3 separate regions of the Mus musculus genome follow, and regions 2 and 3 are each reported to be linked to region 1. Evidence: microRNA targets listed by miRTarBase, many of them from high-throughput screens and not tested one by one. Region 1 holds a microRNA gene; each other region holds the end of a gene's coding sequence.
The links. The annotated mature microRNA mmu-miR-124-3p reads UAAGGCACGCGGUGAAUGCC and lies in region 1 at 5,198-5,217, opposite strand. An mRNA with a match to its seed (bases 2 to 7 or 8) in the 3' UTR can be bound and repressed. Matches are read on the target gene's strand: a 7mer-m8 pairs with bases 2 to 8, a 7mer-A1 pairs with bases 2 to 7 and ends in A, and an 8mer does both.

Region 1 (10,707 bases):
TGGAGGTGTTGGTGGAAGTCATGATGGTTGGCTAACAGTGATACCAGTGGTTGAGACTAATGATAATGAAGGTGACGAAGATGGTAATGATGGTGTTGACTATAGTCATGATAACTTCACATTGACTTCCTTGAACATGTCTGAACTTATACCCAACCACAGATGGGGAAGCTGAGGCACAGCAGGTGAGGAAATCCTGACTCCATGAGTGTGAAAGTGTATCCTTAGATCTTTGTGCTATGTGAGTGAGTGAGTGAATCAGCTTTCTACTGGCATTAGGATGCCCTGCTTTTTATCCCTTGGTAGTAGCAGGTGCCAGGTGGAATACAGGGTGCTTGCTCAGCTCATTCCTGTCTCCTGCAGACTTGCCTGGACCTTGGCAGCACTCACACACAGCCTGGTCCTTAGAAGAGGCTCAGGAATACTTAGGTGAATGAAAGAGCAGAGAGCATGCAGAAGATCTAGGGCCTTATCCTGTGTGCCTGTCCCATGCTGAGGTAGGACTTGTCTCTAGATGAGGATACCTCTGTCTCCCCTGTCCTTGTTCATAGTGATTAACTTGTTCTGTCTAGGCAATGTTCGAGGTCACTCTGGGGCCTGGCTCTCCACAGTGTCACTCACCATCCCTGTCCAGGTATAGAATCTTGAAGCATCTCCAAGGTTCCACCTGTGGTGAGCATAGGCACCTGGAGAGGGTCTTCACACACAGAGACACACACAGACACAGAGACACACACAGACACAGACACACACACAGACACAGACACACACACAGACACACACACACACAGACACACACACACACAGACACACACACACACGCGCGCGTGTGTGTGTGTGTGTGTGTGTGCTGGAGTATTCTGTGTGTGCCTCAGCTTTGTGCTGCTTCACTGTACTTCAGACTGCCTGAGCTTGCTCCACGTACTTGGTGCATATTTCTATTCTGTTCCAACAGAGATGGTGCTCCCTGGGGAGTGTTGACTCTCGGTGACAGCCTGGGACTGAGAAGATTCTCAAACCTGGTCCTTTTTGGGCCATCCTTCCATGTGGGCTGACACTGTATTTAGAGTTGGGCTTTATTGTGAGTAGTTCAAGGATGTTGATTCCGGCGCTCTGGCTATCTGGACACACACTGAGAATAGCTCCGTAGCTCCTGGTATAAACTCACAGTGGTGTGGCCCCAGGGGATGAACAGGCTAGATAATGCCCAGTCCTCCAGGTGCTAGGCTCATCTCCTCTGCTCATGGTCAGTGGTAGTTTGGGTGACAATTCAGGCAAGAGAAGGACTACATAGGTTCTACAGACATCTCTGGGGTAACCTGACAAGACCTGTTTAAAGTGGCTGAGAACCAAAGATGGGACCTAGCTCCCGGGAGAGTGCTGTCACACGACAGAGTGCAGCGTGCTCCTGTCCTGCTGAAAAGGCCTCCTATCCCCTCCATCAGAGCCTCAGTGGAAACGGCGTGTATGTGGACTTCTAAGTTGTGTCTGGCCCCCACTCGAAGCACAGATGATAGCTCTATCTTTTATCTTCCTGATGAACGGCTTTCTAGGTGGTGGAGATTGCCTCAATGTCAAGGCTGTGGCAGCCAGGTAGGAAGTGTAGACCTTGGAAGGGCAGGCATGTTGCTATTATTACTATTAATTTTTGTTGCTATTATTACATCTTGGCTGATGCTAGGAGCTAGGGACATCTGTACCTAAGCTCTGAAGGGATGGGAGCAGCTGTGAGGGTGTAGGTGGCACAACAGGCTGTGCAAACGGACCCTTTTCATCCTCCCTTTAAATCAAATTCTGCCCGAGCCAGCACTTTCACGGTTCAGCTTCCAAGGAAGCCTAGGCCTGCTCATGTGACCAACTAGGAGGTCGCAGGTAGCCATGGGGATACTGGTTTACCCTTCTGGTCAAGCTGATGCTGAGGAGCAGCCTAGACCTCTGTTGGTAACAAAGGTCCGGGAACCTGTGTTGGGTAAAGGCAGAATCCTGTAGAATTTAGGGTACGAGTGGGCAGGCATGGGCTAAGGTAGAGGCCCCTGCAATCTGGACTCCCATGACTTTTTGATCACACCCCTGGGAGGTGCTGCCAATGAAGCTCTATTGTGGAAAGTAGAACTTGTGTGCCATGTGGACTGGGCATAGCCTGAGGCTGGGAGGAGATCTGTGTGTGTGCACTAGAGAAGCTGATACCTGTCTTGCTTCCTCTTGGATGGGGCCGCCATGCAGAATCAGACCCTCTTCGCTCCCTCCTGCCAATTGAAGTTCTTCCCACGTTTTCTTCTGTCTCTCTAACAAGCTATGGCAGGAGCACTCTAGCATCTTAATTTTCCCTCTGAAACATCTCTGCCCCCACCCGCTGCATCAGGAGTGAAGGTTGGGGCGATGAGGCGCAGAGAGGCTGGAGCCTCGGGTAGAGACTACCAGAGCACAGACTTCAGGGCAAGCAGTGCGGGGCTCCTGGATGCTTCCACGTGAAGTGCTGTGACTGGGAGCTGGAAGTATGGAGACAGGAAGCTGAATTCTGAAGCATCTCCAGTCCCAATAGGACAAAAAGGCTAAAAGTGACATGCTCCCCTCTGGAGAGAATTAGGGTTTCCCAAGAAAGCTATGAGGTGACTGCTCTGGGACAGCAGCTATGCTGCGCTTCATTCGGAGTGGAGATGTACTATATTGGATGCTCGAACCGTGTCTCTCCTTTCTCTAGTCCCTACACTTAAGAGGGCCCAGTGCCGATGGAGGTTTATGTGAATGTTCTGAATGTTCTTTCCCCAGCTTGCTGTTGACCAGGTTGGCACCCAACAAGCCCGTATGCTGAGCCTTGGCTTCTAAATAGATCAGGCAGTCTATGTAGGGATGAATGTATTTTAGGATAAACAGGGATGGACATCCAAGCTAGCCCACAAAGGCTACAAAGCGCGGCTGCAGAAAAGGCTGCTGGTCCCGAGAGTCAGAGAGTGATGCTTGCACTCAGCCCCCTACGGGTAGATCTGAGATTCTAAGTCACCTGCGTGAGGCCTGCCCACACCCCAGCAGACAGTGCTGCACCCTGAGCACAGTAAGGATTGAAAAATGGCCTTCCTACCGAATGCCCCATGTCTGCTAGCCATGCCCAGATTGGTCCTGTGCCCCTGAACTGAAGCCCCTAGCCTCCACTGAAGGGGGTGCAATGAAGGTGAGTGAAGGTGATTGCTACTCAACCTGGGCTGGGGCACAGGGCAGCTTGCCATGGGCTTTACCGCCTATCCACTCTCCAGCCCACCTCCCTTACCATCCTCCCCACCCCGATCTCTGCTCACAGCCCAGAAGGTCACTGTGGTCAGGAGCCAACTCTCCAGCAAGGGCAGCGGTGGCACAAGAATGGAGCTCTAGTTCCAGGGGAGAGGCAGGGGGAATCTTCCCTCTGGGAAAAGAGCCAGGCTGCAGTGTAGAGCACCCCCAACAGAGCTCAACGAGGGGCATAGTCCTGTGCCCCCTAGGAACCTTTACACTAGAGGACTGATACCTCTACCAATTCCTTCAGTATTGCTTTGAGTTCACCTTGCAGCTCTTCTGAGGGAGGAAGGGAAAAAGAGACAGCAAGCCCAAGGTCAGAGCTGTGGTATGCTTGGGCCCCTTCTCCACCCTCCAAGAGGCAGAGGTTCTGCAGAGGCTCTGCTTTGGGGACAGGATGCAAAGGCACTAGTGGTCTATGAGTGTGTGACTGTGTGCATCTCTCCATGGAGTACTGAAGCAGTCTCCCTGCAGCATCTCTTTGTGTCTTCACGCGGGCCCTTTTGTCTTGCTTTTCTGCAACTGCACAGGACTTGAGGCTAGGAGAATTTGGGCGGTCAGTTCTGGATCTGGGTCAGAGCCAGGAAAGGGGCTCACACTCACCCCATGAAGATGAAAAGCAAGTCTGCAACTTGTCTGAGGGGGTGGGGGTGCAGAGGTTGTGACCTCCTCCACTGACAGTCAATCCTAGGTCATCAGTTTCCAACCTGTGTATCAGGACTCCTTTGCCAAACTCTATCTCTAAAAATATTTACATTAGGATTCATAACAGTAACAAAATTGCAGTTATGAAGTAGCAACAAAATACGAAGTAGCAACGAAAATAATTTTATGGTTGGGGGGAGGGGTCACCACAACATGAAGAACTCTATTAAAGGGTAGCAGCATTCTGAAGGTTGAGAACCATTGCCCTAGGTAATAGGGCCTGTAACCTTGGGGATCGGAAACCTTGCTGGGAGGAGACATGCCAGAGCAGAGTCTCATACCAGGACGCCAGCAGGTGGCGCTGGCTGCCGAGGACAGGAAAAAAAATGCCTGCAGCAGACCTGAGTGGGTGTCACTGCGGCTGCAGATGGTGGTGGGGGAGGGAGGAGGAGGATTTGTCATTTTCTCTCTGGGCTGCAGAGCCTCACGTGCCTCGCGTCCCGCATAGCTGGAGAGAGGTTTGGGGGCGGGATGCGGTCCAGTGTATCCACCCAGATTTAGACCTTGGATGCAGATGCAGATCCCCCACTTCCACAGCTCGAACCTCAACCTAAGGTTCAGGGGTTTCTTCAGAATCAAAGTGATCACCGCCTTCACCCTGCGACCCCAACTAGAGCGCCCAGGGGACAGACTGCAGTGACCCCAGACCCTACCCCATTTCTCTGGGGTTGCTGCGGCAACTATCCAGGGCCCCCTAGATGGGAACAGTGATACTCATGACATCCCTTCGCCCCAAGCGCATTAGCGCCCCGTCTCTCTGGGTGACTCCACGGCCAGCACCGAGGACAGCGCCCAGGACTGCCCGTGGGTAGCGGGACGCGCCAACACAACCCGGGAAGCTGCACACTTCCCTCCCGCGCCCCTCAGCCCGCCGCTTCCCCAGCCCCTCCCTTTGTCTTCTGGCCCTCGTCTCCCTCTTCGGGATCTCGAGCACTCAGAGCTGCGGACACACGTGGTCAGGGGCCGGGTGGCCACATTCTCCCCCGCGGTCGCCCCCACCCTTCTCGTGACGTCCTAGGCATGCGGGCCCCTTTGTGTCCCGCGGCCAGATCCCCGGCCCAGCAGCTGGGCCGCCCTCTGGGCGGGCGCATTGTTCGCCGGATTTGTCCGCGGAGCGAGGGGCCACCGGGGGCCGGGGCTCGCCTTTTTCCCGCGGGAGGGGCGCCGCGACGGCCGGGCTCCCGGGCCATTTCCATGAGAAAGGAGCGGCGGAGGCGCCTCTCTTGGCATTCACCGCGTGCCTTAATTGTATAGACATTAAATCAAGGTCCGCTGTGAACACGCAGAGGGGCCCTCAGGGCTGCGGCGGGCGGCGAGCGGCTGGACCGGGTCGGGGCCGGGCTGCGGCTTGCGTGGGGTCCTAGCCTGAGGGGCGCGAATGCTCCAGCTTCTTCGCCGCGGGGCGGGCGGGCGGGGCGGGGCTCCGCGCTAAGCTGGCAGTGCTGCCCTGGTCCGCCCCCAACTCCGAGGAGCCAGTTTTCCTTCCCCTCCCCGAGGTAGAGAAGGGCCCGGGCAAATCCCTCGGGGCGTTCCTGCAGTAGGGACCCCTCGGAGCCGCGGCGAGGGAGATGCAGGAGCCGGCCGGGGTGAGCGCGCGTGCTCCGGCCTGCTGCAGTCTTCTGACGGGTGCAGAGCCCTCTCCACCCCGGCGGCGCAAGCCTCTCCGCAGCTGCCCTTCCCCGGCTCCTCTTCCCGGCCCCACCAGGAGTGCGTGAGTGCGGTGAAAATAAAGAACCTCGATGTTCGGAGATGAAAAGCAGTCTCTTTCTACAACCCGCCGAGCTCTCTTCTCTTACGCCTCTGGCTGGCGAGAAGCTGCTCGAGGAGAGAAAGACGGGGTGACCTGAGAGACCGGCTCGCCCCGGCACGGGCCGCCAGCGCAGTTACCCGTCCGGGCGCGAGCCGCCGCCGCCTGCTGCTTCTCGGTTGCCGCCTCCGCTCCGCAGCACAGCCTGCGCTGTCGCCCGATCCCGCCTCCGCCTCCTTCTTGGCGCCCGCAGGACCCGCACGCTACGGCCCCGGGTGGAGGAGAGCGCAGGGACAGTGCCAAGGAAGCCGGGCAAATTCCTGAGGGCCGGGTGGGAGCCCGGCGTCCGCGAGGTCGGCACTGCGGGAGTCTGACTCCCACTCTCCTTGCCTAGACCGGGTGCGACCGTCCCCGCGCTCGCCGCCGCCGCCGCTGCCTCCGCTCGTATCCGCGCTCGGCTCCGGCACCGGGCGATTATCACTGGGGCGCGCGGTGACGTCACCCGACACCGGCTCTGCCGCCTCCTCTCGGAGGTGTCCTTGAGAACTGAGGGGCACGCGCACCGCGTACACGCGCACTCACGCACCGCGCGACCCGTGCCTCCCGCGCACACGCTCGGCGTCCCGCTCCGCGCGCTCCTCGACTCACACGGATGCAGCCCTCGAACGCCTTCGATTGTGCCCGGCGCCCCGGGGTCACACGTATGCAGAGAAACTGCCTCTTGGACACTCTCGAACCGCTCATTCTGTCCTACTGCACGACCCACGCAAAAGCTTCTCCCGCAGCCCACCGACCGCAGCTCCTCTACACCCACCACCAGCCACACCCCGCTGTGCAGCGAACACACTGTGCTTGCCTCACACAAGCGGCTGGTCCTTCCGGAATAACCACTCTACACAGTGGCTTCTGAGCCTCTCTCTCCTGGGGGGGGGAAAGAAAGGGGTCCTAGCCTCCTGCTGGCGGCCCTATGTGGAGAAGGGAGTTAGACATCTCCCCCAACCCCCATCAGAGACTGCTCCCCTTTTTCACCCTTTTTCTAGCTGGGTAGCGAGTCCTTGCTTACGAGGATGGGAGAAACACAGTCCATACTTCACAGTTGACTGCAATTGAATCTACTCTTTGCAGTCTATTGAAGGGTGACTACCTTGATCTGGGTCTTTAGGGCTAGAGATCAGCGGCTTTCCAAAAATAAAAAACAAAAAAAAAAAAAAAAAAAAACCCACGCCACTCTAGGCCTTCCCAGCGGGCCTTTGTTCCTGCAGACTGGAAGAACCACACAGAAGTAGGCAGGCCTCTGTCCTATCCTTTCTCCCTGGGCCAACCCAGCCCTTGACCACCTGCCCTCTAACAGAAGCTAAATGACCCAGGCATAAATTCTTCCCCCTCCCTTTCCAACCTTCTCCAGCCCCGTGGGAACCCCCGAAGACACTCAGCTGGGAAGGAGGTAATCTCCGGAGATCTCATCCCACTGCCCGAAGGTCCTCAGAGGGTCAGGATACTTCTCTCCCAACCCCAAATCCTTCCCTTTGCAGGTGCCAGTCTCAACCGACGCTAGAGAATCCCCTCTTACACAGACAGCTAAGCCCACCTTTGCTTATGCCCAACCCAAAGTCAAGGAAACCACCCACGGCCTGCCAGCACCTGCAGCCCGAGGGACACTGGCTGGTGGCTCAAGAGTGGAGGATCTAGACTCCGAGCAGAGGCTACTCCCTGTTGGAACCAGCTCCTCTTTGCCTGGCCAGTGGTCCCTCTCCCTAGAGGGTACTGGGTCAGGTCCCCAGCACCGTCCATGACACCAAACCTTCACGGTCTGCTGTCCATGGTGTAGACAGCAAAGCCTGCCCGAATCGCTTCCCATCCGCGGAGCCTGGATCCTCGCCCAGAAAAGGCGCTCCCAGGACAGCAGACCCTTTACCATCCCTCAGCCCCACCCTCGGCTTTTGCAGTGGTCTAACACATCTCCGCTTCTAGCCTGCCCAGATCTCGTTTCTATTCGGAGGGTGCGCGGGGGTGGAGGAGGCACTCCCAAAGAGCCTCGGATTTAGGAGCGCGCTTGCTACGGGGCCGGCTCCGTACAGCGACTCCTCAAAGACCAGTTCCCTTCCCAGGCCAAGGACCTCCCTTCGGCCTCCCCTTACTATTCGTGAGAGATATTTACAGCAAGCCAGAGCATGGTACATAGGGAGTCTGGGAGAGCACCCCTTCCATGGGTCAAACCAAGTTTAATTTTTTGCATCTCCGCCGAAACGTGCCTGCGCGTTTCCTCCTGGTACTCCTATGCACTCAGTCCGGAGCACCCGGTTTCTCTATTTCCAATTCCCTGCGTCCTGCCGCCCGGCCCTGAAGGGCTGGGGGAAGGGTTGTCCTGGGTGTGGGGGTGGAGCTGCCTGTGCGCTAAGAGAAGGGGAGCCCACCCCAAGCATTCCTCTGCCTGTTCCTTTGAGTCTGCCCGGTAGGGATCTTTTTGATGACCGCGAAACCTTCAGAGTCAACTTACTGATGCTGGGCCTTGGCTCAGGTTTGTTCTTCCCTGGACTCCCCACGGCCCAGCCTCACCTCTCCACGCTCCTTCTTCCCGGCGCAGCCGCCTCTCCCCAGCACACTGCGAATTTGTATTTGTGGATTTATTTATTTGTTAGCTCCTGGGTACGTGAGGGAGAGGAAGGGGCACGAAGGTGGGGCGACACAGTCCAGTTGGCTCAGGCTCCAGGTTCCAGGCCGCTGCTCCGCGCGCACAAAGGCCATGCGCGCCGCAGCCCGGCAACTTTGAGACGGGTCAGGTGGCTCAGGCGGGGTGGGGGTGGGAGGAGGAAGGGAAGGATGCGGACTAGACCCCCTCCTTTCCCCTCTTGCCCTCCATCCGCGAAAGCTTGCGATAGCGTGGGATTAAACAGATCAACAGAAACCCGTGGAGAACTCCCTCCCTTTCCGCCCTTTCTTCTTCGTCACACCACCGCCCCCTCCTCTGCAGGAGGCTTGTCATTCCTCCAGAAAGGGGAGGGGCCTTGATCCACATCTGGGAACAGCTGGCCCACAGTCTCTTGACCCTTGATCCCACCCTGGCTGTGAGGAAAGGAAGAGTTGGAGGAGAAGGCCTTCAGGCTGCCACAGGGCCCACAGTCCCCCTCTACATGCGTGGCCTGGGGATGGAGTGGTAGGACAGATGCAGGGCCCATAACACAGATGTGGCCAGCAGAGGGAACAAGGGATCAGCTTTGCTGGGCTGGGTGCAAGGACTCTAGGCCCAGCTGCAGCCCCACATCCCTCTGCAGGATTTAAATGGTACATAGCCTCTCAGATCTAACATGGGTGGTCAAGGCTTGAAAGCCTTCACACAGGAATGTCACAGGCCTCAGCCTCTTCATACCCAGTACAGGTGGCCTTAAACCTCTCTCCTGAGGGCAGCTTGTCTCCTGATGCAGCTGGAGTTGAGACTGAAGCTCTCAAGACAGGGCATGTACTTGATGCCCAAGGGGAGAGGCTTCTGAGAGCGACCCCCACCCCAAGGTACCTGGTGACACTTCACTGCCCGCTTTAAGGAGAGTTTAAGGATGAGTGACTCCCACCCAACATTCCGAGGGTGTGCTTTCCACCTGGAGATGCAGCTAACTCTGGCTGCCCTAAGCTATGGTCTGGGTGGGGCCAACGGGGAAGGAAAGATCTGGCCTTGCTCCTCCTAGTCCTTTGTAGAGGTGGGGGGGGGCGGGACCCCCACCATGACTGAGTGCTGAGGGCGGAGCTAGCCACTACAAAGACTGCAATTGTGAGTGAGGTTCTTGTGGACAATGGAGAAGGGGGTGCGGGGGGGGGGCACGAACAGGGCCCTGGGCCCTCCACATGGAAATGAGGCCAACCCCCCTTTTTCTCTCTCCTTTCCCTCCTCCTCCCTGAGTAGAGTGAGCACCGTGGACAGAGCTCAGATGAAAACCCAGGGAGTGAAACTCATCGTGGCCCCCCGGGGTCCCTCAGAAACTCCACCTGGGCCTTCAACACTGCATAGACTTGGAGAGCCAGGTAACGGCAGGCTGGGGTGGGGGTGGGGAGCGAAGGAGGAATACAAACAGGAGGCAGTGTGTATCCGCAAGGGCTAACCAGGGCAGGACAAAGACTGAGGGATCCAGGCTGAGCTGCTGGCCTGTGGCGGGCGGCAGCGGCCGCGGCGGCGGGAACAGGCCTTTTGTTCTTGGGGTCCAACCTTTTGGCTATCCTTGGCTAGGCTCTGATGCTCCCGTGAGTCCTGTGTTTTCAGGTGACTCACTGGCCACCCACCGTAGCAGAGATGGCACACACTGTTCCCTTCAACTCTCTACCTTTCAGAGTGGGCCTTGGCTTTTATGTAGAAAACTTCTCTTTCCGTCTAGGCCAAGCCTGAGACCCCAGGCGGAGTGCTGTGGGAGGATGGCTATACTCCAGGGGTATTTTAAAAAATTGTTTAATAAAATTTACATTTATGTATTTATTCTTTGTTTGTTGCATACATGTATTGAGGGAATGTGCCACAGTGTGCACGTGGAGTAGGTCACTCGTGGGAGTCCATTTTCTTCTTCCATTATGCAGAATCAAATTCAGGCTTGGCAGCTAGTGTCCTCACCTGGTGAGCCATCTTACTTCCACCTAGGAACCTTGATGTCAATAAAACCATCTGGGAGCCAGGAGCCAATACTGCTCCTATACAAACCAGAAAAATGGGTCAAGCATCACAACAGGCTCTTGGGGAGGATGCTTTCTGGTCTCCTTGGAATTCTGAAGGGCTTCATAGACTCAGTCCAGGCACAGAGACCTTTTGGCAGGGTTACCCCTCAGAGGCTCCTTCTTTTAGAACTTAGGCCTCAGGGAAGCCAGAAGAGGCCCCTGAAGAGCAGAGGCAAGGATTCCTGGGAGCCTGAGTGTCTCCTTCTCTGGGACCCAACCTTCATCTGACTGATCATCTTAGAGCCAGGCAGTGGAAAGGTGGGATGAAGACATCCTAGGCTTAGGGCTCTGTGTTC
Region 2 (10,707 bases), not on the chromosome of region 1:
CTGTCCCTGTCACAGGAGTGAGTTCCAATGACACAATAGCAAGCCTGGTGTTTGCTCAGCTGGCAAACAATGTCGAGATCATCCTAAAACGGCTCTGTAGGGAGTCAGAACCTAGTGCAGTTCAGCACATTTACCCTCACTTCACCCAAAAGTAAGGGGCTAAGAAGTTACTCTTGTGCTGTTGTATCACCCTTTGAGTAGGTAACCCCTGTGCACTGCTCTTTAGGGCTATTGGGTAATACAGATAAGAAAGAATACATCCTCTTGGGGGCTGGAGAGATGGCTCAGTGGTTAAGAGTACTGACTGCTGTTCTTCTGAAGGTCCTGAGTTCAAATCCCAGCAACCACATGGTGGCTCACAACCACCCATAATGAGATCTGATGCCCTCTTCTGGTTCATCTGAAGACAGCTACAGTGTACTTACATATAATAATAAATAAATCTTAAAAAAAAAAAAAAAGATGCATCCTCTTGCTCAACACTGTGTGGCTCTTTCATCTTACATTCAAAAGTTGTCTCTGTTAACTTATCAGTCTCTTCTCTTCTCTTCTCTTCTCTTCTCTTCTCTTCTCTCTCTCTCTCTCTCTCTCTCTCTCTCTCTCTCTCTCTCTCTCTTTCTCTCTCCTTTGTTTTTTTGAGACAGGGTTTCTCTGTGTAGCCCTGGCTGTCCTGAAACTCACTCTGTAGACCAGGCTGGCCTCGAGCTCAGAAATCCGCCTGCCTCTGCCTCCTAAGTGCTGGGATTAAAGGTGTGCGCCACCACTGCCCTGCACTTTGGTTTCTTCTAACCCCTTTCATACACCCTTTGTTAATATGGCCATTAATTCCCCACAGTGCTTTCTTTATCACTTTGAATTCTCCTGTAACTGACAGTGCCACACAGCTCCTGCCAGCATCTCTGCACTGCACACTTCCTGTTGCTATCAGATGTTCTGTCTCTTATGGGTTTTTCTCACTCCTTTAGGTCAGCAGCAGTCTGCCATTGCCTCACTGGCAGGACTGTCTTTGGGTCTTACCAATGCCATGTCCAGGCCCTGTGTCCCCACCTGCAGTGTCATTTAGATAGGACAGAGCAGCCTCACATGAGTACCCTCTCTTCTTTCAGATTGTGATATGGGGACTGAGAAAAAGGAGGGACTTCCCAAGGAAGAAACTTCTGAAGACTCCAAGCCACATGGGCAAACAGTAGAAAAACTTGCACAGGAGGTTTGCCATGGCCATGAGTTTGGAGAAGCAAGCGAGGAAGACATGTCAGAGGGACATTTGAGAGAGTCCTCGAAAGAGATTATAGAAAAAAGGTATCCTCAGGAGAGACACTTTGCATCTGGGTTACTTATCTTCAAGAAGTCGTCCTCAGGTGAGAAAACCAGTGAGAATCCGAGAGGCTTTAATCCTAACCCTAGTGTATTGTGTCATGGAGGTGCTGAGAGGGCCAGCGCATGTGCTGCCTCTGGCCACAACTGCCTGGGGAGTATAGAGCTTACTAAAGCTCAGGGGCCTCCTGTGGGAGAGAAGCCTCACACGTGTAAAGAGTGCGGGAAAGCTTTTAATCAGAACTCACATCTCATCCAGCATATGAGAGTCCATAGCGGAGAAAAACCCTTCGAATGCAAAGAGTGTGGAAAGACCTTCGGGACTAACTCCAGCCTTCGAAGGCACCAGAGAATTCACGCCGGAGAGAAACCCTTTGCTTGCACTGAGTGTGGCAAGGCCTTCATTCAGAGCTCACATCTGATTCACCATCACAGAATCCATACTGGAGAAAGACCTTATAAATGTGAAGAGTGTGGTAAAGCCTTCAGTCAGAACTCAGCCCTTATTCTGCACCAGAGAATCCACACTGGAGAGAAACCCTATGAGTGTAACGAGTGTGGGAAGACCTTCCGGGTTAGCTCACAGCTCATCCAGCATCAGAGAATTCACACAGAGGAAAGATACCACGAGTGCAGTGAGTGCGGCAAAGCCTTCAAGCACAGCTCCGGCCTCATCAGACATCAGAAAATCCACACGGGAGAAAAGCCCTATCTGTGTAATGAATGTGGGAAAGGCTTTGGTCAGAGCTCGGAGCTTATCCGCCATCAAAGAATCCACACAGGGGACAAGCCCTATGAGTGCAGTGAATGCGGGAAAACGTTTGGCCAGAACTCAGAAATTATTAGACATATCAGAATTCATACCGGGGAGAAGCCCTATGTGTGCAAAGAGTGTGGGAAGGCCTTCAGGGGTAACTCGGAGCTCCTGAGACACGAGAGGATTCACACAGGGGAGAAACCCTATGAGTGCTTTGAGTGTGGGAAGGCCTTCAGGCGGACCTCTCATCTGATTGTCCACCAGAGAATCCACACTGGGGAGAAACCCCATCAGTGTAATGAGTGTGCAAGAACCTTCTGGGATAATTCTGAGCTGTTGCTTCACCAGAAGATTCATATTGGAGAGAAACCTTATGAGTGTAGCGAATGCGAGAAGACGTTCAGCCAACACTCCCAGCTCACCATCCACCAGAGAATTCACACTGGAGAAAAGCCATATGAGTGTCAGGAGTGCCAGAAGACCTTCAGTCGGAGCTCCCACCTCCTCCGGCACCAGAGCGTTCACTGTAGCGAGTGATCTGCAGGCCAGGAAGGTGGTGTGGGGAGGCTGGAGGCAGACTTCTCCATTGCTCTGTACCGGGGCCCTAGGATCAGATGAAGGGACAGGGCCTGCCCCTGCCCGTCCACTGAGTGTGTGCCAGTCGTCGGCCGAAAGTGATGAGGCAGTTTTATGAACTATTTATTGAGAAGTTTCAGCATACTAAATTAAATCATAAAAGTTATCTCCGGCTTTAATCCTCCTCTGGCCTTTCCTTCTGTCTGTCTCCACAGGGTTCTGTACATGTGTCTAGCCTAAATTGTTGTTGTTCTTTATGAAAAGTGGGGACGGGATTCACCATTCCTAAGAACCAGAGGGTTGACTCAATGTCTCCTGAAATGTTAGAAAGGTCTAACCTCTCCTTCCACTCTAACCTCTCCTTCCACTCTAACCTCTCCTTCCACTCTAACCTCTCCTTCCACTCTAACCTCTCCTTCCACTCTAACCTCTCCTTCCACTGCTTGGCTTTCTAACCTCTCCGTCCACTGCTTGGCTTTCTAACCTCTCCTTCCACTGCTTGGCTTTGGATACTAACCTTTCCTTCCGTTTCTTTTTTTAAGCCTCAAAATCTTTCAGCTATAGTGATCATAGTGAAAAGGCAGGAAGCTTGCATCTTCTCACACCTCCTGATAGATTCCTTATTTATCTGAAGAGGTTTCTAGGAAAAGGAGAAAGTTTACAGGACAGGAGCCAAAAGCCTGAAAACCCAGAGGAAGACGGAGAAAGAGTGGAAGTCGGGCTACCGGGCAGAAGAGGCTTGGTAGCCGCTGCCCTTGCTCTGCGCTGTGTGCAGACTGCCCAGGCAGGCGCCTGCCGCAGGCCCTTGGTCGCAGCTCCTGCTGTTGCAGCCATCCTGTTAGGAAGTAGTAAGCAGGATCCTGTGGCCTTTCTCTGCCAGACTGCTGGCCATGGTGGGGAGCTGGATACCTGGCTAACCAGGCCTGGCCCTTCCAACATTGAGCTCTCATGACCACCCAGCTGGGGGCTCAGGGTAACAGATGGTATGTGAAGCCTCTTTGGCTTGTCTGATGGTCGTAGAATATTTTTCCAACATCTCTACACGTCTTCTGTGTCCTCCAAGTCTGACACTTCCACGTTTGGGGTAGGCAGTGGTAACAGCAATGGCAGTAAAGAAAACCCAGGAGCCTGGGCTCTCATCTGAGAACTGTCCCTTCGGGAAGGCCCTTCAGTCCCTGCTGTCCGGTTCTCTCATCTGCAGAGCAAGGGGTGTTGAGTTAAATGATCTCTCAAGTCTCAACCAGCCTCTAAGGAAATAGACTAATCGCTTTTCTTTTCAGCACTGTGTTTAACTAGTCTTTTTGAGCCAGGCAAGCACTCTACCGCTAAACTATGGCCCTAACCCTCCTTCGCCACCTCCCGTGCCAGAAAGAATCCTGATGAGCTGTCCAGGCTGGTCTTTTACTCACTGTGTAGCCCAGGCAGACCTTAAATTTGTGATCCTCCTGCCTCAGCTCCCTAAGTAGTTGGGATCTAAGTAGTTGTCTGCCTGCCAGGCTTCTGACCATCAGTATTTATAATTAACTCTGTGCCAGGCAGTGTGCCCGTCAGCTTACATTTGTTTCTCATGGTATGTGTATGGTGTGGGCACACCTTTTAAAAGTAGCTTTATTTAGGTACAACTTACATCATAGGGTTCGCGGTGTGTGTTCAGTTGAGTGACTTTTAGTAAATTACAGAGTTTTGGTATTTTCCTCAATGAAGTGTTCTGGAGTCAAGTTAAAGATGAATGGGTTTGGCGGGACAGGGCGTGTGAGGTGATTTACCTGGGATAGTATTAGGTCTAGAGCTAAGACTAGTGGCCACTGTTGTATTGGCCTCTGTGCTGTGCACAGGCCCATCATTACTGCCTACTTTTAAACCCTTTGCACCCCTTTTGTCCTTACTAGTCACCACCTAGACTTTAATACAAAGAATTGTAACCACATCTTTGCAGATGTGACTCAGCCCAGCCCCGTTGTGCAGAGCAGGCGTGTTCTGTACCCTGACACCAGTTCTCAGGTTCACAGCCTGCCTTGAGAAAAGGCTGATCACTTGTTTCCTAGATCCACAGGTCGCTCCCCGGGTCAGTGTCTGGCAGGGGAGGCTCTCGGGCTGGCCCAGGCTGTGGCCTCACTCTTTACTGATTGATGTTTTGTTCAGGCTCAAAGGGAGCTGTGCTCACACCATCTTTCTCACATGACACCAGGGCATCACCCACTGCTTTTAACTTCTGGTTTCTGTGTTGGCATATTTTACTTCCAATTTCATCCCTTCCGTCATCATATAGAACCAGCACCTTACAAGCCCCATTTATAATGTGATTGAATAATTACAATAAAAGTTAAAAAGCCAAGTGAAAACCCTGTCTGAAAAAGACATCAACACTCCTCAGACTTCCCCCAAAGGAAGCTTGCACAAAGCACTAAGGACTTCACTGCGGGTGAGCGTGCTATGGAGGGTGAAGGTTCGCACTGTCTGTCCTTCCTGCTAGGCAATCTCCTCAGAAGTCCCTTCATGTTGAAAGTAGTGGTGCAGGGTTTGTTTTGTTATGTTTGAGACAATCTCTCCATGTACCCCTGGCTGGCCTAAAGTTTGCTGTGTAGACCAGGCTGATCTTGAAATTGGAGACTTCCTTGCCTCTGCCTCCCCGTGGTAGGATTAAAGACATGAACCATCATGCCCGGACCTTTTCTGGGCTCCGTCAGTTTGGGCTGTTAGTGTTGTTTTGGTTTTTGGTTTTGATAACCAAATCCTTCCACCTAAGTCCAGCACACAGTTGCTTTCTTTTTCCTTCCTTTCCTCTCTTCTTCTTTTCTCCTTTTTAGACACATCTCAAATAGCCCAGACCAACCATGAACTCCCTTTGTAGCTGAGGGTGACCTTGAACCTCCGAACCTCCTGCCTCCCAGAGGGCCGGGATTACAGTCGTGCACTGCCATCCCCAGCTCAGGGCTTTGGGCATGATAGCAAGCACCAACTGGGCTCTGTTCTCAACTCAGTTTCCTTAAACCATCACTGCTTAGCAAAAAGGCCTTTTACCCCATTCGTCCACTTGAACATTAGTGACAAGTTTTTCTTGTGCCTTACATGCTTGGAAGAGAATGAAGGCCTCATGTTCCAAAAGAAATTTATGTGCGTGTTGCCTGAGAGGAATTCTGGTTGAGGAAATAGTCTTCATCTTACGTTTGGCATATGCATATCCTCTGTCCTGGTCTGTTGATCCCTCTACCTATCACTTGGTTGTTTGAGGGAGACTTCTCAATTTCCCTCATTTGCCCTCCTTACTCTCAACTCGCCCTGGTGTCCCACGTCCCACTGTAGCTGTGGCTAGCAGTCGTAATTCTATGCAAGCAGAGTCCTGCCAAAGACAAGTCACGAGCTAACTTCAGACCCACTCTCAAGAAATAAAGTAGGCCTCTCAGGCTGAAGCCATTAACTGCCCAGAGAAACTCTGCAGAATCTTCGAAGGTATGTCAACACCCGTTCCCTCCCTCCCCTAACATTTTAAGCAAATAAAGTATGTCTTTGCTGATGTCAAAAGGTGCTGTCTTTTAAATGCTTGTGTGTGTATGTGTGTTCATGTGTCCACTCAGTGCCCAAGATTGTGTGTGTATATATATGTATGTACACGAAGTACTTGTGGAGTCCAGAAGAGGGTATCAGATGTCTTAGAACTGGAGTTCCCTCTGGTTGTTAGACACCACGTAGGTGTTGGGAACTGAACCCTGGATCCCAGATCTTTGAAAGAGCAGCCAGTTGTCTACTTACTTACTGTCTCTTACTTAACTGCCCCTCTCTAGCCCCACCAAGGTGTCTTGGTTTAGAGTATTAGGGACATGCCTGAGACCTGCTGTCACTAAAACACTTGCAAAAATCAGAGTGATAGAGAGTTGCCACTGCAGCTGTGAAATATCAGCCAGAGGTGATAATTAAAAAGCGAACAGCCAGGACTAATTGGCTGGAGAGATGGCTCACCATCATTCCCCACCTCAGCTAATTTCAATGCAGGTCAGGGGCATTGTGCAAAGTCGGCTCTGACAAGGCGGTCTCTGAAACAGAGTCCTGTAGCTCATCTGGTTTACAGTTGTCTCAGCAGGCCTCAGCCATTCATGGAGCAAAGAGAGCAGATCTTGGTGCACAGGTACCTGGCAGAGTTGAGTTAATGCATGCCTGTTGTTTGACCTTGGACCCAGATGAGATACGGTGTACAACAGTAACAGACACGGAATGGCAAGCAGCAGGATGAAGGTCCTGGGTGGTGTGCAGCGACTCCATCCCTGTGCACCTTGCACCTCTGCTCTCCATCCCCATGACCTCTGGCCTCTCTTGATCTAAGGATACCAAGTCGGGGCCCTCCTTCTTGCATACAGAGGAAATCAGGCCTAGGACCCCCACGTCTGAGAACGGCCACCCAAGCTTCCAGCTCCACCAGGGAATGACACTGCACCTCACTTTGAGGGGCCCAACCTCAGACCCCAATATTCTTGTCAACTTCCACTTCCAGAGCGCTCTCCAAGTTGAGGGTGGTAGTTTTCTCGAACCCTACCCTGCTGTGCTCGCAGATCTGAGCCCACAACTGCTTCCTACAAGCTGGAGTGTGCTGCATGGTGCGGACTGGGCTCTGTGAGCGCTGGTTGCGTAGAGCTGGGTGGGTGGAGGCTGCCCTCTAGCGTCCACAGAAACATCTACCAGCGCAGCGATAGCGCCTCAAGGAAATCACACCCCACCCATTATACAAATGTGTAGTGTACTCTGAACATACTTCTTCCCTTTCTTGTTTCTCATTAATTCTGTCTGTTCGTTATACAGTTATCATTCTTTCATGTCTATAATATCTATATGATTTATAAAAATGTGATATTTGTCTTTCTGAGACTGATTAAATATACACACACAACACATGCCATTCCTCTTTTCTATCCATTCCTCTTTTCTATCCATTCCTCTGTTCAGAGTCACCTAAGTTGCTTTCATAACTAAGCTATTGTCGATTGTTTTGCAACAGACACGGGCATGCCTGTGAGTGTGTCTGTAATATGTTAGCTTAAGAGTGCTTTGGGTAAGCACCCAGGAGTGCTCTAGCCGGGCCCGTGGTGCATCCATTTTCAGTGTTCCGCAGATTGTTCATACTGACTTCAGGGGTTGGACCAGTAGTGTGTAAGTTTCCTTTGTCTCAGCACCTTTGTCTGCATCTGTTATTTTCTGTTCATCTGTGTGGATGTGTGTATGCATGTGGATGTGTCCCTGAGTGCAGGGCCCAGATGTGGTCCCTGAGCCACTTAACAGCGCACTGGGAGGAAGAGCAGCAGGGTCTCTCTCTCTCTCTCTCTCTCTCTCTCTCTCTCTCTCTCTCTTTCCCGAGACAGGGTTTCTCTCTGTAGCCCTGGCTGTCCTGGAGCTCACTCTGTAGACCAGGCTGGCCTCGAACTCAGAAATCCGTCTGCCTCTGCCTCCAAGTGCTGGGATTAAAGGCGTGTGCCACCACTGCCCAGCTGTATAATTTTTTTAAACAGTAAAGGTCCCTAGATCCACAGTGTGTTGAGATCTTAATTCACCTATAGATGGCAGTGTTTGCAACCGGTGGTTTAAAACTGTAGCTTCAAGTTAAGACATCAGAAATAAACCTTCATTTTAGAATAAATAAATAAATCCCCAGACAGGTGTGGTGACTTACACACGTAATCCAAATACTTGAGAGGTTGAGTCAGGAAAATTGAAAGTTTGAGAGCAGCCTCGGGCTACAGAGTTTGTTTGATGTTAGCCTGAATTACCTAGCAAGTGTCTGTGTGTGTAAGTCTGTATGTGTGGAGCTAAATTGATGGTTCAGCAAGTTAAGTGTAAGAAGGAAGAATTGCGTTTTTATCCTTAGAACCCATTCGAAATTCTGTGACCCTAAGCGAAGGGCAGACAGGTGATTCCCAGAGCTCATTGGCCAGCCTAACCAAGTCAACAAGTCCCAGGCTTGGGAAAGACCCTGCCTCAGAAACTAAGGTTGGAACATGACAGAAGGCACCTGACATTAGCCTCCAGCCTACACACGAACACGCATAGGTGACCACACACGCATGTACCAAGCACAGCTCTCTAGATACACAGGCCTCTGCTGTTGTCTTCCTGTTTGGTGGGAAGGTAAGAGTTAAATTAAAATGGCAAGTTTCAAGTTGTCCCTATTGCCTTTCTTCTCCCCTACCATGAGAACTTACTGAGCATCACGTGCTAGCCCGTGCTAAGTGACAGAAATTTAACATTCCTGTGGCTTCCATGAAGCTGAAAGTCCCTTGTTGATGGACAGGTATGTTGCCTCTGCTTTCTCATGGCACACACATTACAGGGGACAAATGACACTACAGGACATCCTATGCAGGTTCTCCAGCTTCTCGAGGACATTGGTTCTTTTCCTTTTCCTTCCTTCCTTCCTTCCTTCCTTCCTTCCTTCCTTCCTTCCTCTCTCTCTCTCTCTCTCTCTCTCTCTCTCTTTCTTTCTTTTTTTTTCTTTCTTATTTTTGAGACAGAGTTTCTCTGTGTAGCCCTGGCTGTCCTGGAACTCAGAAATCTGCCTGCCTCTGCCTCCCAAGTGCTGGGATTAAAGGTGTGTGCCACCACGCCTGGCTGAGGACATTGGTTCTTAAAGTGTGCGCTGGGTCACAAGACCAAAAACTATTTTTTGTAACAGTAATGGGTTATTTCCACTGTTTACATGGTCTCGTATGAACACACAGTGGAACTTGCAGAGAGACCATGGCAGGATATAGTGACAGACTGACTGACTGTGGAAACAGACAGCAAACTGAATGTTCTCTGTTTAGCTATAGTGAAAGAGATCCAGAAAAAAAATATAGCACACACAGTGAGACTCTTTATTTTTTATTTTTTTGTTTTGGAAAATAGATGTGTTTTTATTACAATTTATTTGTGTGTACGTGTGAATGTGTGTGCATGTATGTGTATAGATGACAGAGGGCAGTTTTCATGGAGTCAGTTTTCTCCCTCCACCATGTGAGTCCCACAGAGCAAACTCAGATTGTCAGGCTTGTCAGTAAATGTTCTTTACTTGGCGAGCCATCTTGCCAGACCAGATTTATTTTAAACAGACAGACAGACAGACAGACAAAACAAACAAACAGCAACAACAACAACAACAGGGGTTCTCTGTAGCCCTGGCTGTCTTGGAACTCACTCTGTTGACTAGGCTAGCCTCAAAGTCAGAGATCTGTCAGCATTTGCCTCCAGAGTACTGGGATTGAAGGCACGAATACCACCATTGCTCCCAGCTCAAGCTCAATTTTCCTTTCTCCCTTTTTTCCTTTCTTCCTTTCTTCCTTCCTCTCTTCCTTCCTTCCTTCCTTCCTTCCTTCCTTCCTTCCTTCCTTCCTTCCCCCTCCCTCCCTCCTTTTCTTCCTTCCCCCTCCCTCCCTCCTTTTCTTCCTTCCTTCCTCCTTTCTTCCTCTTCTTTTTCATATTTTTGTTTGTTTATTTTAAGATTTATTTATTTATTTTATTTATGTGAGCAGACTGTAGCTGTCTTCAGACACACCAGAAGAGGGCGTCAGACTTTATTACAGATGGTTGTGAGCCACCTTGTGGTTGCTGGGATTTGAACTCAGGACCTCTGGAAGAGCAGTCAGCTCTGGAAGAGCTGAGCCATCTCTCCAGTCCCTTGTTTGTTTATTTTGAGACAGGGTTTTTCTGCATACCCTGGCTGTCATGGAACTCACTCTGTAGACCAGTTTGGCCTTGATCTCAGGGATCCACCTGCCTCTGCCCCTTTGGGGAGTAAAAGCATGCACTACCACACACAGCTCAATTTTCATCGCTGATGAGGGAAATACCAACAGAATTTTTTTTCTCCATGTCAGCTGGCAACAACTTTTGAGGAAAGCAGACCTCAGAGTATAACCTGGAAATCCAGTAATTATGTTTAGGAACAAAAATAAACAGGACATAGTAGGGGGGTTTTGTTTGTTTGTTTGTTGTTTTTTTTTGGGGGGGGGTTTTTTGAGGATGATGGAGACGCTGGAGAGATGGCTCAGTGGCTGCTCTTCCAGTGGAGCTGGGTATGGTACCCAGCATCCTTAAGG
Region 3 (10,707 bases), not on the chromosome of region 1:
GGAGCAACCCTCTCGGGAGTCTGTACTGTTGGTTTAGATTTATAGCACATAAACAAAGGTTGTAACTCTCACTTACCTGCCTCTTGCACCTACCTGTGTAGACATGAATGCTACCATTAGAAGGATTGACCAGCTAACCAACATCCTGGCCCCCATGGCTGTCGGCCAGATTATGACATTTGGTTCTCCAGTCATTGGCTGTGGTTTTATTTCCGGTTGGAATTTGGTGTCCATGTGTGTGGAGTACTTCTTGCTCTGGAAGGTTTACCAGAAGACCCCTGCTCTGGCTGTAAAAGCTGCTCTCAAGGTAGAGGAGTCAGAACTGAAGCAGCTGACCTCACCTAAAGGTAACTGCACAACCACTAGCTCTGTACTCAGACCTTGAACTTTTCTGTGAAGACCAAGTTCTAGTCCGGGCTGTGTTTCCAGGGAAAGCCTAGATGAGTTGGAATATCATCTTTTCAGATTCTGGAAAGAACTGTGGGTTGAATATAAAAAGGCTTGGGAGGTCCCTGGCCCTTCTTCATGAAGCAGTGGGCATAGAAAACAACTGCTTGAGGAGGCCTGGGAAAATGATCCATAGAAATGGGACGATGGGAACATGAGCATTTCTTAATATTTTCTGAGGAGAATAAAATCGCCCTTTGGAAACTGTGGGAGGCAGAAAGAGAGGCAAGATTTTTCCAGGAGGAGTGGAGGCTGGTTTTCTGGTAAATGAACTCTTTATGAGGTTGCAGAAAAGAAGATATCCCCCCCCCCCCGCCACATAATTTTTATGCTTTATTTGATGAATGTTGCTGCAGTTTACTTCAATGAGAGTGTAATATCTAAAAGAAAGAGAGGTTTATAAAGAGACCAAAAGTATTTTGAAAGCAAAACTGGTATTTGAGAGTTATTCCATGGCTGTACTTCGTAAATTAGCAGTAAAAGAAAAACAGATTATAATGTAGTACTGAAGGAGATTCATATAGGAAGGGAGTGGGGAAATCAAAAATAATTGGCTTTTACTCCTCATGTTCTTCCTCTAAAATAATGATGTTTCTTATTAACAGATACTGAGCCAAAACCTTTGGAGGGAACTCATCTAATGGGTGAGAAAGACTCCAACATCCGTGAACTTGAATGTGAACAAGAGCCCACCTGTGCCTCCCAGATGGCAGAGCCCTTCCGCACTTTCCGAGATGGATGGGTCTCCTACTATAACCAGCCAGTGTTTCTGGCTGGCATGGGCCTGGCTTTCCTCTATATGACAGTCCTGGGCTTTGACTGTATCACTACAGGGTACGCCTACACTCAGGGGCTGAGTGGATCCATCCTTAGTATTTTGATGGGAGCATCAGCAATAACTGGAATAATGGGAACTGTGGCCTTCACCTGGCTACGTCGAAAATGTGGCCTTGTTCGGACTGGTCTATTCTCAGGACTAGCCCAGCTTTCCTGTTTAATCTTGTGTGTGATCTCCGTATTCATGCCTGGAAGCCCCTTGGACCTGTCTGTTTCTCCATTTGAAGATATCCGTTCTAGGTTTGTGAATGTGGAGCCAGTGTCCCCAACTACCAAAATACCTGAGACCGTCTTTACAACAGAAATGCATATGTCCAACATGTCTAATGTCCATGAGATGAGTACTAAACCCATCCCCATAGTCTCTGTCAGCCTGCTGTTTGCAGGAGTCATTGCTGCTAGAATCGGTAAGAACACTCTTTCTGCATACTACAAAATTACAAGCATCATTTTAGAAACCTAGTGTAGAGAATTCAACAATAAATTATCTGAAGTACTTAACAGATGTTAATTTAGGCAAAACCCATAGTTTATCTATAGAATATACTCTCTAAACATGAAATTTCACTTAATAGTTTAAACTATATGTTTGCATGTATATATGTGTGTGTGTGTGTGTGTGTGTGTGTGTGTGTGTGTGTGTGTATAAAGTGTTTTGGGTTTTTTTATTTTCCTAAGTTGTGTGTCTGTGGTGTGTTGGAAGAAAACCCAGGACCTCATGCATGTCAAGTGAGCCCTCTAATTCTGAGTTAGGTCCCTAATGGAATATTTTTAAGTCTTTCCCCCTTTCCATGTGTGTCTGTGTGTGTGTGTGTGTGTGTGTGTGTTACTGGGGATCAAGCCCAGAGCCTTCTGCATGCTAGGGAATTGCCTTACAGACAAAGACACTCTTCTAAAGACAGAGTGGTTGTAAGAAACATCCTTCAAAAGTCTTCTGTAGCTGTTTGCATTTACTCTATACTTTGACTCACATATGAGGTTTTAAACTTCTTTCCGGAAGCATTATGGAAAGGCCACTTACAGAGCAGAATTTCAGTAATCATTAATGGAATGCTGGTGAATGGCCTCTGAATTCATTCATTCTTGAAATGAAACCATATTTATCTTGTGATACAGAGCAATTCATTAATTTATCAGGGACATTAATACTCAGTCAAGACAGCTTTATTGGGAGCCCTATGATCCTCAAGCAGCAATATAACAGTGGTTTCAAGTTTCTGTGCTCTTTAGCTGTGGCAGTACATTAGGTCACTCTAAACTTTAGAAGTGCTAGAATCTATATAGGCTCTGCATCCTTGATGCTTTTTACTGAGAAACTTACGACTCAGCTTTATCTTGTGGCTGGGGAAATCATTCTTGAAGGCATTAGCACATACTAGTAAGTTATATAGTATACTATATGCTAATAAATTATATAAGGTAAAATGCGGTTAATCTGTTCTATATATAGGTAATTCAAAGGTTGTAGAACTTCAATGTGTTTTGCATATATTAACTCACTTGGATACTGTGAGCTATGTAACTGTACATTCAATTATACACTAAAATTTCACCTCCTAAAATATTCTTTACCATCCAGGTCTTTGGTCCTTTGATTTGACGGTGACACAGTTGCTGCAAGAAAATGTAATTGAATCTGAAAGAGGCATTATCAATGGTGTGCAGAACTCCATGAACTACCTTCTTGACCTTCTGCATTTCATCATGGTCATCTTGGCCCCAAATCCTGAAGCTTTTGGCTTGCTGGTATTGATTTCAGTCTCCTTTGTGGCAATGGGACATCTTATGTATTTCCGATTTGCCCAGAAGACTCTGGGCAACCAGATTTTTGTTTGTGGTCCTGATGAAAAAGAAGTTACAGATGAAAATCAACCGAATACATCTGTTGTATAAAAATAGTTTAGCTGTGGCCCCTGTTACTAGATTGTGGAGAGCATGTGTGCTTATTTTGTACTGCAGAATCCCAATAAATGCCTGCATTTCTCTCTGGTTTTACCACATCTGTGCCTTAAGGGCTAGGAGCACTAACTAACCATCGCCAGCAAAGATGGTTATTTCTCCTTACATGTAAACATTGGAAAATAGGAAGAGGGAGAGGCAGTCAGCGTGTGTATAGGAAGGGTTTAATGGTAAAATGAACTTCCCTTACTCTTATGAGTATATTAAATTTTAAAGAGTGGTTGTCAGGTGAGTAAAATTATTCCTTAGCAGATATTTATTATCTACTGGAATGATAAATCAATTCACCCTAAAACTCACTCTTGTAAAACTCTGCTCCACTTCCTTTTTTTAAGATCAGTGATATTTTTCTCAGTTACATTACAGAAACAAGTTTTTCCTCCATGTATGAAGGTTATAGTTAGATAATGAATGTTATCCTTATTAATCCCATTGAACTTAAGGAATTTATTGTATGTGGAGGATGAAATGTGTAACTAGACTTGTCCAAAAGGTTCATGGAATAACTTTTGCATTTTGACCATCAGAAAGGGCAAAATATTACAGTAATGTGTGTATGGTGGCTCTTCATAAAATGACTCTCAAAATCTGCAGAAAGAAGAAAAGTTGTAGGTTTCTAGTGTGGTACAGAAGGACTTAAAGCTTGTTATTAGTGTGATTGTAGAAACTGGAAGCTAAGGGTGAGGACCTCATGTAACCAGAGTCACTGTCATCAGCCATCACTAACTATTTTGGTAAATGAGAGAACTGACCTGGCACCTTACAAGCAGAAAAGCGGCCCACACTAAGAAAGGACTGCAAATCAGTGAGTCTGTATAGAACATTTTACCTTCACTGACTTGGGCCGATGTGTTTGTCATCTCTGTGTTTTTCTAGAGCAAGAATAGTCACAAAAGTTCCCCTTTCAATATCCCTGAGAAGAATAAAGAAAAAACTGTTTGTAAATATTTTTTTAAAACTGTTCTGCAAGTCTTTTTGTAACATGCAGTACCAACATGGGACATTGCCTTAACTTTTGATGCACTTTCATGGAGACTGACTGCCATGCATTGCTGTGAGCACTTTCTTTGTCGTTCAGTTTAATCTTTTCCTTCACCTTTATTACAGTATGACATAATGATCTACTATGTTGTCAAAGCTTCATAAAATATTTCTATATAAAATGTTTGTAGAATCTTCATTTGCCTTTACTGAGTTGTGTTCTCCCAATTATTGTTACTTATTTCAAAATTAGCATATAAAAAGTGTTTGATATCATCATCGCCCTTTGAACAAAGTGTGCTGTAGTCAATTTCCCCTCTCACATGCTCCTCCCTATCCACCCTCCTTGCTGCCTTCCAGTAACTTCCCTCCTATGTCTTTCTGACCATGTCCTGTCCTTCCTTGTCACCTAACCATACCTTGTCTTTGTACTGTGTACAAAGTCACATCACATCTGGACTCAACATCTGTATCCATGCACACACTGAAGATGAGAATCGGCATATGAAGCAGAACTTGTTTGTCTTTCTGAATTTGGATCTTTTCACTTAAAATTATATTTTCCAGATTCATCTATTTTTCTGAAATTTTCAAATTTTCATTCATCCTCATAGTAGAAAAAGATTCTGTTGTGTATAATGGCACATTTTTATTATTGGTTCATCTCTTCATGGACATGTAGGCTATTTCCACTTCCCTGCTATTGTTAAGGGAGCAGTGACTAATGTGGTTGGATATAGAATCCTATGCCCTGGAGTGGTATAGTTGACTCATAGCATTTCTTTTTTTAATTTTTTACAAACTCTTCATAATGATTTATATAATGGCTATATTAGTTTTCACTCCTACCAGAAGTGAGCAAGGGTTCATTTTTCTCAGTTCCTTGCCAGCGTTTGCCATCAGATTTCCTATGATGGTCATTCTGATGAGTGAGGTGGTATCTCAAAGTACTTATACTCAGAGCACTTCTGATGGCTGGGGATGTTGAATGAGTTTGAGATTCTTATTAGTTATTTATGATTCTTCTTTTTTTAAAGATTTATTTATTTATTTTATATGAGTACACTGTAGCTGTCTTCAGACACAGCAGAAGAGGGCATCAGATCCCATTACAGATGGTTATAAGCCCCTAGATGTTTGTTAGTAATTGAACTCAGGACCTCTAGAAGAACAGTCAGTGCTCTTAACCACTGAGCCATCTCTCCAGCCCATAATTCTTCTTTTGGGGAGTTATTCATTAGCCCATTTCTTTTTCTTTCTTTAATTTTATAAGTCAATACATTTATTCTATGAGGGGGCCAGTCTCATAAAACCGTACCTCTATTGTAACACACTTAAACTACAAGAATCCTAGAGGAGAAGAGTGCTTGATACTTTCTGCAGATGCAACATCATTCACTAGCTCAGAGGAAGATCTTGACTTTCCAGTGTGCCTCAGACTTTTAGGTGATTGACATTTCCATGCTCCATTCAGCAGTGGACATTCACTTAGGATTTCATCAATCTCCAATCCTAAGCTTCCATTTCTCTGTTTCACAATCAATCTTATAGTAGTTCTGCAAAAAAGCAACATTTGGTCTCAAGATCATAAATATAGGCCCCACCATATACTTAGAGCATTGAGTTGTTTCAAAGGCGATAATTTGGGGCTGTCTTTTGGCCCTGAGTATATCCAGGAGCTCAGGACAATGTTTTCACTCCAGAGGGGCAGGGTATCGCTCCTGGGTCAGCTGACTCAGCTTGGCTATGTGGTGTAGAAGTCATTTCAGGAAAAGCAGAAAGACATTATCATAGAAATCGACCTCTCTGAGGTGAGAACATTGGCTTAGGGCAGGCAGCAGGGCACTGAACTGAGAGTCCTCTATACCACATGACTCCAATTCCAGGGTTTGCAGGGTATCTCTAACTCTCAAGAAGAAACCCAATAGGCTCAAGGAGTAAATAACATAAATATTTATATCTCACTAAGTTAAAGATGTTTGAGCTCACAAATATTCAGGCAATAGGGCTGGTAATCCAAGGCTGACTGGAAGGTCACAGTTAGTGATGCAAAGTGTCGCCAAAGGCTTCTTCAGGCACCTGAGGCATTCTTTTAGGTTGCCTTTTATAAAAGAGACATTGTTTGCATAGAGTTTCTGGCGACAGTGGAGTGTGGGAAGTTGAGAAGTCAATCTGAATATTTTTCTCTTCATCACGCTTTTCAGAATCACCCATACTGGAGGTACCTATGATGTGATCTAGTGTGAGTATGAAAAGACTTTTCATCTGTCTCAGGTAGGGATTAAGAAAAGCCAACTCTTCTATGAAGATACAGTTTAGGACAAGCTCCTGTATACAGCCGGGATGTACACTTTTGAAGATTTCTATGAACGTGGCTTTGGTTAAGCCCTGAATCTGCAGATTTCTACAGCATAGGCAAACAGAATCTTTTCTCTGCTGGGCCCACTGCAACAGGTATGTGGCAGGTTCATCAAATCTGCCCTTCGTGAGATGGAGTTCAGTTGTCACCTTCAATTCTTTCTTCACCTCACAGTCAAGACTGTTCTCCATTGGCTGCTTCTGTGTAATGAACACTGGTAAGCCTTCACCTTCATGGGATCCAGCCCATCTCCCACACAAGTCATGTTCTTTATCTCTCCAAGGGAGTGCTCTGAGTTCGCACCTACTGGTTTGAACCTTGTGTGCAAGTAGTGTATCTAATCCCTCAAGCACAGCCTCCAAAGTCTCCATTCAGGAAACATTCAGTGACCCTTTACTGGAGATGTGGTCTAAGCACCACATCTGTGATCAGGCTTGCTGAGTGCAAGTTTAACAGACATGGTAGACAAAGATCCCTTTTACCCTCATATTAAGACATTCTGGCATCAGCCCTGGAGATTTCACAGACAGCAGATGCCAAATGTTAGGCTTGGCTGCAATCTTGCACAGGCCCTCTGCTCCCTCCCAGAGGTCAAGCTGGGGTTAGATATCTGCTCAGAGTGTTTGCAGCCATAACTGAAGGTCTGTGACCTTGTCCACTGAATAGAACCATCTGAGCAGGAAAAGATCCCAGCACTTGATGCAGGCACTTCGCCAAATGCCAGACCCACAGGAGCCGTGCAGAGCACGGAGTTAATAGGATTTTTACAACAGCTGCTGCCCTTATCTTTGCAAGCTATTGCACTGAGCAGGAGGAGGGGCAAAAGGACGGGAATGTTTACTGCCTGCAGGTTTAGAATTATGTCAGGGGTAGAACACTGGAAGGGGAAAGAGAGAAACTAAAAAACGCTTCAGTGTCAGTGGGCCAATATAGCATAGTGAATTAGAAGTTGGAAAATAGTCCTTTATTTTGTTTGTAATTACGTTTTTAAAAGAATTCTTCATTGGGTTCCTACTTGAAATCACATTCGTTGCAGCTTGTTTGTTCGTTAGTTTTTCTTGTGTTCTTTTTTCATTCTCTTTAAGCAGTTTCTTCCAACAGACTACTTTGGGTTGTCTATTAAGAACAATGAAGACACCTTCATTTTTCCTTTCCCTTTGGTTAATTTTCATTACTTGCATAAAACGATGGGATTTGTTGGGACATTTTCAGTCATATGTATATTTGGGTCTTACCCACCACTCCATCTCCTCTGTCCCTCCCCTCCCCTCTGACTCTTTCCTCTTCTCTAATGGTCTCTCTTCTACCTGTGTGTCTTCTTTTTTGTTCTTCTAGATTCCTAAAACGAGGGAAATGAAATTTTTCCCTTTCTGGTCTGGCTTATTTCACTTAACTTTCAAAGAAGTATTCCACCTGTCCCTACCTCTCCTCCACCCCACCCACCAGTAACAAACCTAACAAGCTTGTTAGTCAATGTCCTTTGTCCTTTGCCCTTTGTGAAGTAAAAAAATCCCTTTCCCATACACTTTTATAAGGAAAAGGGTGCACAACGAATTCTGAAGGTACCCACACCCAAGGCCTGTGGGTAGAGAATGAGGTGTGCTCAGGGTTCAGAGCTCAGCCAGCGAGTACATGACCCCTTGCCATGTGATGTGGACCTGTGCTGGTCAAACCTGGCACTATTAAATATTGATGATTAATCTGAAAACATACAAAAAAATTTAAGCCAACCCACCAAATAAACAAAATGCATGTGTTGCCTTTTTTTTCTAAAAGAGAGTGAGAGAGAGGATTAGCATTTTCTACTGAGGTGGTTTATGAATACGTGGATAGTATTTTCATAAAGTTAGTGATTGAGAAATGAAATTTACACAGAAATTACAAAGTCTGGAGAACCAGGGAAAACTTGGCAAACATTTGTGATGCAAATTTCAAACTAGAAAGTATTTACTACCTATCATGTCAATGTTAAGGATTTGGGCATCTCATTTCTTTATTTCATGTGCTACCTGCACTGTTGGGTTAAACAGTGATGTTTTAAAACAACTTTTAAAAAATTGTCATGATAATTCATTCCTCTTGGACAAAAAGAAAACCGTGTAGGGTTTGACTGAAATGCTCACTTCCCAACCTGTTCTGAATTTTTGGGAGTAACCACGGTAAACATTTTGTTTATTCATATATATATATTATTTTTTTTTGATGAAGTGAAAGAGATACGTCCTTGTTGTATAACCATAGTTTGTTTGCCAAGGTTTTTTCTCTACTGATCAATCTGTGAATATATCCAGAGTTTGAAGAAAGACAAAAAGTCAAGTTCACCTTGACGGTTAGTATATTTATCAAGCATTATAAAGATCTACTACATGAGTAAGTAGATATACAAATTTCCTAGTATATTTTACCATGATTAAGAAATAAATTTAGGGGACTATAGAGATGATTCAGCAGTTAGGAACACTTGCTGTTCTTGCAGAGGAGTCTGATTCACTTCCCAGCAGTCACATGCATGACACAGATCCACCTGAGTCTTCAGGCCTCTGGGAGCACATGCACACATGTGGAGCACACACTGACCACATGAATAAAAATACATACAAATTTTAAAAATAAACTTAGCCTAAGATAGTAGATAAGACCAAAAACTAAACTAAAATGTCCAAAGAAAATAAAGAAAAAACCCTGAGTTTCACCTTTTTCCATAAATTATTCGTACTTCAAAGCATTACAACTTCATCCAGGGTGCCTTCTTTCTTCCCTTTGATCCACCCTTCAGAATAATCCTTACTATCAGAATATTTCTCTTGTGCAAGATGGTAGCTCAAGACTAGAGTAGAAATGCTTGAGTCTTGTGACAGCAAGTGCATATTTTACCTGACAGGTATGAACTGTTCATCTTCCCCATACTTTAAAAATTAAAAAGTATACATTCTTCTTTGTATGTAGACTTGCTCACACTTTCCAGATCTACAAGGGAGCACGTATTTTTTTTCTAAGGAGTAGACAAATGGGATATCAAAGCACAGGTGAATTCTTTTATCCCTGCCCTTGTGCAAGCTGGCATAGATTTTCTATTTGAACATTTTCCTTATTGAATTTTACTACATGAAAAGTGCACCGTCATGTTCTTAAAATAACTATATCCAAACTATCTTAGGCGGTTGCTGTCCTTACTACATGTATATGTGAAATTTTATAGAACTAATTTTCAAAGCCCTAAAATAAATAACATAATGCACATTGTGGTTTAGATCAGACTTACAAGGTTTTTTTGTGTTATATTCTAGAAAGAAAATTTTGCCATGATAGAGTTAATATTTTATTTAGCATTATGTATTTATCAACTGGATGCAAATTTTCTCACTTAATTCTAAGGTATTTAGGTAAAAGGTATTTGGGATAGTAGAGCAGAAAAAGATAATATTTGAACATCAGTTATTTGTTTGTATCTAATTCATTTAATTCCCACCATAAGTTAGTGAAAAATATATACTGCATATTGTACAGGTGGGAAAGACTGACCTGTAGAATAAATATTGTATGAGTACATAGTTGGCAAAATGCAGAACAGGCTCTCAAACCATTTGTCTACTTTCCTCTTTACCACTCAAAGTCCTATGAGAGCTTTCCTAGTGGGAAATGTTCTTGATGGACCTATTTATATCAACTGCATCTTACCCTGGAAATGGGCAGAATTCTGTCAACTAGCTGAATGTGAGTATTTCTGACTGGGTTTCCAGGGGACTAGTTTGTCCTATATCTGTGACTGTCTTGCCTGTTAACATTGTCAGGATTTGTGCTTGTGCAGTACTCTGAGTATGTTAAGCCTTTCCCGTCATCTGTGTGAGTGGTAAGGATTGCTGTGTGCAAATTTAGGCCTTCCCATTTGCTGTTGTATTATTGGGCCTCAACTTCTGTTTTCCATTTGCACAATGGAATACTGACCTCTGTCTTACAGGGCATCAGCACTTTTAGCCCAGTTGCTTCTTTAAATGTTCCTTAAACTCTTAAGGTAGAATTGAGGATATTCTTTGTTCCAACACAATCTATTGTTCTCTGCTTTGTTCTCATATAGTTTTCCATATTTGAAAAACGATAAAGGAATTTTGGCTTATACATCTAGC

Region 2: the mRNA of Zfp3 is a reported target of mmu-miR-124-3p. The part of its 3' UTR that is shown has no 7-base or 8-base seed match.
Region 3: the mRNA of Slc40a1 is a reported target of mmu-miR-124-3p. Seed matches in the 3' UTR shown: 8mer at 3,288-3,295 and 7mer-A1 at 4,248-4,254.

What each region holds. Positions count from the first base shown.
Region 1 is chr2:180,888,593-180,899,299 of GRCm38, reverse strand. Mir124a-3 (microRNA 124a-3) reads right to left here and starts at 5,260; the gene lies at 5,193-5,260.
Region 2 is chr11:70,770,103-70,780,809 of GRCm38, forward strand. It overlaps Zfp3 (zinc finger protein 3), which reads left to right. Exons shown (of 2, transcript NM_177565.3): 2 at 1,107-2,826. The coding sequence starts at 1,115. The coding sequence ends at 2,608. Among named protein-coding and RNA genes, the nearest start is that of Zfp3, 11 kb to the left of the region's middle.
Region 3 is chr1:45,901,876-45,912,582 of GRCm38, reverse strand. Slc40a1 (solute carrier family 40 (iron-regulated transporter), member 1) reads left to right here. Exons shown (of 8, transcript NM_016917.2): 6 at 102-347; 7 at 1,053-1,691; 8 at 2,864-4,513. The coding sequence ends at 3,177. It also overlaps the pseudogene Gm18303. Among named protein-coding and RNA genes, the nearest start is that of Slc40a1, 18 kb to the left of the region's middle.